Daphnia pulex: one gene and its partner. The protein of the gene in region 1 interacts with the protein of each later gene in a biochemical or structural test. Links are inferred from orthologs where the notes say so. Each region holds a gene or a part of one and is shown in the gene's direction. Other genes may lie near its edges.

Evidence for each region.
Region 2: the proteins of dynamin-1-like protein (region 1) and mitochondrial fission 1 protein-like form a complex in vitro, tested with the Homo sapiens proteins (2 studies listed by BioGRID). The link is inferred for Daphnia pulex from reciprocal best matches to the Homo sapiens genes DNM1L and FIS1.

What each region holds. Positions count from the first base shown.
Region 1 is NC_060025.1:9,333,836-9,338,391, forward strand, and holds the end of dynamin-1-like protein, read left to right. Parts: exon of another isoform or gene 1-61; intron 62-350; 5' UTR 351-535; coding exon 536-637; intron 638-721; coding exon 722-866; intron 867-925; coding exon 926-1,077; intron 1,078-1,145; coding exon 1,146-1,413; intron 1,414-1,488; coding exon 1,489-1,589; intron 1,590-1,657; coding exon 1,658-1,968; intron 1,969-2,028; coding exon 2,029-2,179; intron 2,180-2,240; coding exon 2,241-2,456; intron 2,457-2,519; coding exon 2,520-2,735; intron 2,736-2,810; coding exon 2,811-3,102; intron 3,103-3,183; coding exon 3,184-3,452; 3' UTR 3,453-3,783; downstream 3,784-4,556. UniProt on the Homo sapiens protein: Functions in mitochondrial and peroxisomal division.
Region 2 is NC_060026.1:16,281,857-16,285,178, forward strand, and holds mitochondrial fission 1 protein-like, read left to right. Parts: upstream 1-1,642; 5' UTR 1,643-1,745; coding exon 1,746-1,790; intron 1,791-1,850; coding exon 1,851-2,060; intron 2,061-2,191; coding exon 2,192-2,297; intron 2,298-2,374; coding exon 2,375-2,463; 3' UTR 2,464-2,696; downstream 2,697-3,322. Other genes in the region: ras-related and estrogen-regulated growth inhibitor-like protein, read left to right, coding at 153-345, 420-568, 635-823, 889-1,407; protein O-mannosyl-transferase TMTC4-like, read left to right, coding at 2,981-3,182, 3,251-3,322. UniProt on the Homo sapiens protein: Involved in the fragmentation of the mitochondrial network and its perinuclear clustering. Plays a minor role in the recruitment and association of the fission mediator dynamin-related protein 1 (DNM1L) to the mitochondrial surface and mitochondrial fission.

The sequences.
Region 1 (4,556 bases):
ACGTTCTTAAAAAAGAAATAATAATTTTATGGGCCATAAAAATATTTTTTTATCTAACTGCACTTAAGCGTGTGGTTATACACCTTGAGACATTTTTATAAAGCAGCAGCAAGAGAACATCAAATAATGTAGATAAAATGCGTTATCATTTTTTTATTGATTATCTGACTTTCCCTTTTCGTTCTGCGTTCCATGCCCTTCAGTTTGGCGCATAGAGTTGCCGCAAAAATTGATTTTCGTCATCAAACTATTTCCTTACTGTCGCAATAGCCGAAGCGGATTTCTCCTTTTTTGGAATCAGCATATTAAATTTTCTTTTTCATATTTTCATATTTTTTATAATATTGCAGCTGATGATCAGTTTCTTTCGAGACCGCCAGGTGGCCATCGTCGAGTTCTTTCATTGGTCTACCGTTGTCTGCTTAATAAAGAGCGGAAAACTGTTAATAACGTACACTGAAGTAATATACGGATTAGTTAGAACCCCACGTTCAAATATATTCACGTGTGGTGAACAAGCCGATCTTCTTTAAGCATGGAACAATTAATTCCTGTCATCAACAAACTGCAAGATGTTTTTCACACAGTCGGAGCCGATACGATTCAGTTACCACAGATTGTTGTTGTCGGCACGCAGGTACAGTAACATTTCTTTTTTCGATTCAGTTCCATCTTTAAGGCAATAAATAATTGTAAATTTTGTTCTTTTCCCCCCCTGTAGAGCTCAGGAAAAAGTTCAGTCATTGAAGGGCTTGTAGGCAGAACATTCTTACCGAGAGGAACTGGAATTGTTACACGACGACCTTTAGTCCTGCAACTTATTTATACCCCACTAGAAGATAAAGAACATCGCTCTGCAGATGAAGGTTGTTTGTGCAATACTCTTTTCATCTCATTGCAATTATTTCAAGGTCAATATTTTCAGGGACACTACACTTGGAAGAATGGGCAAAGTTTCTGCATCTGAAAAACAAAATATTTACAGACTTTAGGGAAGTCTTGAGCGAAATTGAACATGAAACTGATCGGGTAGCAGGGCACAACAAGGGAATAGCCCATGAGCCCATGAGCTTGAAGGTGATTGATTAGACTCTATTTCTTTGTTATTGCCCCTGTATTAACTGTGATCTAATGTCATTGTGCAGGTTTACTCTACTAAAGTAGTCAATCTTACACTTGTCGATCTTCCTGGAATCACAAAAGTTCCAGTTGGGGACCAACCAGAGGACATTGAAGCAAAGATTTATGAACTTATTTTTAGTTTTGTCAGCAATCCCAACAGCTTGATTTTGGCTGTCACTCCAGCCACGACAGATTTGGCTACTTCTGAAGCCCTCAAACTTGCAAGAGAAGTTGATCCAGAGGGAAGGAGAACCTTAGCTGTCATGACCAAGTTAGATCTCATGGATGCAGGTGAGTTTTTAATGTTTCAACTTCAATTATCTCTTCAGCTGGGGCTTAAAGTTTGAATTTTTTTAATTCTTTCAGGAACTGATGCCATAGATGTCCTGTGTGGCAGAGTTATTCCAGTTAAACTCGGCATTATTGGATTAGTCAACCGGTCTCAAAAAGACATACAAAATAACAAGGTAAATGCTCGACGCTATATACACATTGATTAGGTTTCTGGAGAAGTAACTTTTTCTATGTAAACCAGAGCATCGAAGAAGCGTTAAAAGATGAAATGAGCTTTCTCCAGCGCCGCTATCCCACTTTGGCAACCCGCAACGGAACGGCCTACTTGGGGAAAACCCTGCAACGACTCTTGATGCACCACATCCGCGACTGCCTCCCTGAGCTCAAAACAAGAGTCAATTTGATGATGTCACAATTTCAAGCGCTACTTCACTCGTATGGAGATCAAGTCAGAGATAAAAGTCAAACTTTGCTTCAAATCATCACCAAGTTTGCCTCGTCGTATTGCGCCACGATCGAAGGCACGGCCAGGAATATTGAAACCACCGAACTGTGAGTGACATTTATCAATTCTCGACAAACCAAATTCTTGCTAATAGTTCAGTCTTGCAGGTGTGGTGGTGCGAGGATTTGTTACATCTTCCACGAAACGTTTGGAAGGACTTTAGATTCTATTCATCCACTATCTGGTTTAACCACATTAGATATACTCACTGCTATTCGCAATGCAACAGGTCCCAGGCCTGCCTTATTTGTCCCAGAGGTAAAACAAAAACTTGTCCTTTATACATCATGCAATGCATTAACATGATTTATTTTACAAGGTTTCTTTTGAATTGTTGGTGAAACGTCAAATTCGTCGCCTCGAAGATCCTTCGCTGCGGTGCATTGAATTGGTTCACGAGGAGATGCAAAGAATCATTCAACATTGCGGCACGGAAGTTCAACAGGAAATGCTCCGCTTCCCTAAACTTCACGAGAAAATTGTTGACGTAGTCACTACACTGTTGAGACAGCGTCTTCCTCCCACCAACATCATGGTAAATACCGGTGGGGGTAAACTTGTTGTCCGCTCTGATTGAGAATCACGTTTGTTGTTTTAGGTTGAAAACCTTGTCGCCATTGAGCTCGCTTATATCAACACCAAACACCCCGACTTTCACCGTGAAGCTTCGCTCGTATCGACGCTAATGCATTCTCACATTGAAGAGCCTGTCTCTCAAAAAGTTCAACCATCCAGACAAGTTTCGTCGAAAAAACAACCAGTGCTCTTCCCTCCGGCTATTCCCAACGGCGAGGCTGCTTCTCCGTCTAGAGAAGTACGATTTCGATAACATTTTGATTCCAAAAGTTTTGTCCGTCACAAAAGATGTTGTTGTTGCTGCCACCGACAGATTCGCGTTCAGAAGACATCAGTCTCGTTGATTGATAGCAACGGTGGTGGTGCTCCTTTTGTACAACAAACCAATTGGCTGAGCAATTTGCTTCCGGCCGGACGAGAGGACTTGATGATGAACGATAATTCTGGTGAAAACACCCCGGCCGCGACGCCTACTCATCACGCATCACCCGTTCCACTTCAGAACCCTTTCGGGCATCAGAAACCGGTGAATCTGCTCTCGGAAGCTGTGCACCAACCCGAGCGAAAGTTGTCTGAGCGAGAGAAGAGGGATTGTGAAGTTATTGGTATACTACTACGTCAAACTTTATATTTTCCAGTTGAACAACGTCCCAATTAAAAAACAACTCATCTTTTCTTCTCCTTAGAGCGACTGATTAAAACCTACTTTTACATCGTCCGTAAATCGATCCAAGATTCCGTGCCGAAAGCTGTGATGCACTTCCTGGTCAATCACGTCAAGGACAACTTGCAGTCGGAATTGGTAACTCACCTCTATCGCCCCGATCAAATTGATTTATTGCTGGCCGAGTCGGAGCACATAGCTCAGCGCCGCAAAGAAGCTGCGGATATGCTCGAGGCACTTCAACGAGCCAGCGTGATTATCGGCGAGATTCGGGAGACCCATTTTTGGTGAAGTTTATACTCTCTCTAAATTCTTTTCGATTGTAGTGTGCTCTCCGTTATACGTGATCTAGTCTTTTTTTCTTCTTCTGTCACTCGATCGCTCATACAAAAAAAAAATTAAAATTTTTCTAGGGCTCCCCCCCCCCCCTCCTTTTTTTTCGTCCAGTTGTAGTCTGTTCCCAACTATTTTGCGAATTAGACATCTGAGAGATGGGCATAGAATATCGTAAAATCTCCTCCAGTTAGTATTTTTCATTCCACATTTACAAATGTAGTCCGATGTATGTTATTCTTTTTTTTTTAATTATTATTTTCAGTACAATAAAATAATGTTGAAATGATGGGAGGGAAAAACGTAAAATATTTCCAACTGTAGATGACCAAACTATTTAGCCCCTTTTTTTTTTAAATTTTGCCAATAGATTTTAGTGATGTTTATTATTTTTTTCTGTAATTGGCCTTCGGAGCATGTAAAGGGCAACCAGTTGCGCAGTCATGTTTGATTTCGGCATGTTTTTATCACCGTCCATTTTTAATCCAGTAGGAAATTCGTCATCGATTGACTCGTCGTCGGTTAATTCCACGAATGCCTAGTGCTGTATCTTTTTTCTTTAATGCGAAGATAAAAAAAAGAACTCTAGTCCAGCCCCTCCCGTCATCAGTGTTTTGTGTTGCCCAACTGTCGACGGGTCGGCCGGTTTTTGGGATATTTTCGTGAGATTAGTCGGCAAAGAAACGATAACGACGAATAATCAGGACGAATTACTCCTTTTCAAGTGTTTCACGGTTCACCTCCCTAATTTTTAGTGAATCCATTTGGCTGGTTAATTTTCTTCTTTTCAGGGTGAATTGAATAGCTTCGTTTTTCAGATGAGGCACAGCCTTGTGATCAGACGTTATCAGCGTAATGAGGGAGTGTTTTTTTTTTCTCCTTTCCGCGACTCGAAAATTCCCTGCACTCGAATGACACACACACTCACCCAGCAGATACACACGCACAGTTAAAAAGATAAGGGAAATCACTCGAAGCTCGTCGGCTTTCACGTGCCCAACTCTAGTTCTCTCGAGTACAGTCAACTGATCGGAAGCTCAACAGACTTATCCCTTTTCTAGA
Region 2 (3,322 bases), on another chromosome or scaffold:
GGGTTATGTAAAATAAAATCAGGGCAAATACGATTATCGTGCATTTCCCGTCAATTGCGTTGCGGGTTGGTTGCTGGATGATATCAACAGTTGACGGCTGATGCTGTGCGCATGTCCAGGCCAGTCTTATAAAAGGGAGGCTGCATCCAGAGATGACGATCAAACCCAATCACGACTTTGCCCAGTTCTCCAACATCACGCGCCAATTTTATTTCATATCGAAAATGAAGGAATCGTTGGGCAACAAATCAGCGACGACGACCAACAACAAAACCAACAACACTGGAAATAACAACAACCGATTGTGTGTCACCGTTCTAGGATCTACCGCCGTTGGCAAAACAGGTTTGTTAATTTTGAATTTTTATTTGGCGCTAATAAGTGGCGTGAATTAATTTATGCAAAATTTGATTAAACAGCGTTGACAGTTCAGTACCTGACGAGTCGATTCATCGGCGATTATTTCTCCGGGACCGACATGACTTATCACCACTCTTTCGCTTACATGGGAGGATCGCTGAAAACCAACGTCGACATTCTCGACATTTCACGGCCATCCCGCAATGACGTAAGTCGTCATCACGGCTCACATTTTCAATTTGAAAAGCTAATTGATTTTGGGTTATAATTAAAGGTGATTGGTGAAGATGAGGAAATGTTATCGTCAGTAGTCGGCACAGAAAAGTGCATGGCTTACCTGGTCGTCTATTCGCTGACCAATTCCAAAAGTTTCGATCGAGCTCGTGAAATCCTGTCCAGGTTACCTTTCCATTCGCCGAAATATTTGGTGGCCAACCAACTCGACCTCCAACACAGACGACAGGTATGTCGAATTTTTTTCCTATTCCAGGGATTTACATTTAATTTAATTTATTGAAATTTGTTCAGGTGTCGCGACTGGAAGGTCAAACCGCAGCCGATGAATTCGGTTGTCCATTTGACGAATTCTCAGCGGCCGAGCCGCAGTACGAAGGCCAACAGTGGGGAGTGAAAATTGTTTTCCAAAAGTTGATTCGCCAATTGATTTCCAATTCGCACGTTCTTCCATATCCGCGGATGATCCGCTTTTCGTCCTTTTCGAAAATGATTGGCGCCATCGTCTCCAAGACGCGCCACCACTCGGCCAATTCCAACAACAAATCGCAGCACCAACAGCAAAAGAATTTCGCCAACCAGCACAACCGCAAATCCTCCATGTCTTCGTGCAGCGACAGGAGCAGCAACTCGAGTGGCAACAACAGCACCGGAAGTGTCGATTCCATCGCCACACTCACGCCCGACATGAGTCTGTTGCACATCAACAGCGCCCATTTGATTCACGGAGTGAAATCTAAACCCATTCCCATCGTCCACCGAAAGCTTTTGACCAGCTCCAACTATCCGTCAAGTCAAATCGCCTCCATATGAATTATATATATCGATTTTATTATCATCATCAACATTTCTTATGACTGGCACAACCAAAATATCATGCAAAATGTACAGCTACAATATATGTATTTTGATACAAATTATTTATATCTATAAACTTTGAATACAAATTTTTTGAAAAGTTAATTACTGTTTTATTCTTTAAATTGTAGTAAGGTCGTATCCGTTGATCAAAACTGTTTTGCATTTTCAAACATTTTTGAAAATCCCGCCTATTCCGTCTGCTGGAAATCAGCTGATATTCCGACTGACTACGTTTTTCAGCTTGTTGTCATCAGTGTATTGCTCAATATTTGATTGGTAATAATAGCAAAATGGAGGACGTTCTAGACGAAAGTATTTCTGAAGAGGATTTGAAGGTACGTGTAACTCTGTAACAATTGTCATTTTCAATTTATAATGTTTGGACTCTTTGGCAGAAATTCGAGCGACGTTATCACGACAGTTTGACCCAGGGAACAGTAACTCAAGACATCCAGTTCAATTATTCCTGGGCATTGATCAGGAGTAAATATCAGGCAGATATCAAGCGAGGGATTTTTCTCTTGGAGGACTTGTCCAAAGGAGGAAATGATGAGGGCAGGAGAGACTACATCTACTACCTAGCCATTGCCAATGCCAAAATCAAGGTAATAAAAATGATCATACTTTTAGCACTTGAAGATGTCATAGTTGTCATATAAATTATCCTACACTTTGGAGAGATGACATTTTTGATCTATCCTAAAAATCGTGTTTGTTTGCTTTTGTTATTTGACAGGAGTACAGCAAAGCTTTGGGTTACACCAAAGTTCTGCTCCAAGTAGAACCAAATAATCGGCAGGTCAGAACTCTAAAAAATGTCATTGAGAAACGAATGGAAAGAGGTATGAAGTTCTTTTGTTGTGTGCACATCTTCATATTTTTAACCCTTTATTTATTTATTTTTCATAATTATTAACAGAGGGACTTAAAGGCATTGCCATCATAGGTGGAGCAGCATTGGCTTTGGGTAGTCTGATTGGACTGGGGGTAGCTCTGGCAAGGAAGTGATAGCGCTCATTAATGCCACGATACACTTCTTATTCTGTAATCCCTTTTGTCATGCAGATTTATGTTATGTGCTGAACTGCTGTGTTGAATCTGAATGTTGATATTTTCACTATCATAAAAATTTTCTTGTGGAAAACTATATTATACTTTCATTCCTTTCTTTTTGTTTTATTTTCATGAAATTCTAGTGTATCAGAAATGAAAGGTATAATGAACAATTACAGATTTACAGTACATTTAGTGTTGTTAATTGTGCGTTGGTTGCGTAAAAAACAAACACTAAAGCCGCACTAAATGCGCACAACAAAAGGTTGCCGAAACCGATTACTAGACATCTAGTAGCACACACACGATTGACACATGACATTTGACAGAAGCAGCCTTGAGGGCTCGCTACGTAGAATCAGATTCTGTGGGTAGAAAAACTTTCGGGCTTACCGTGGCTCCGGTGTAAATATGCCAATCTAACATGTTTTCATGTGTTGCAACATGTAACCTTTGCTCGAGTTAACTGCGTATGCCAACAAAATTACGTGTAGTTTTAGGGGACAACAGAGTAGGCGGCCAGACAAAGCAAAAGTATTATGATATTCCAATGGCAATGACTAAGACGGCCACGAAAGAAGTTTCCGAGAATGGCGCTGGCAAAGTAAACAGTTACAGAGATTTCACATCAACGATTCATAAACCAGCTGCTCAACAATTATTCATATGTCCAGGTATCGCCTTGATTATTTTTCAGACTCTTTAAAGTTGAAAAATGACATTTTTCCAATTCTGTAAACAGAAGTTTCTCTGAAATGGGGATGTGCAATCATCTTTATCCTGGCGTCAGTGTGCTATTTAAATTCAGTAAACG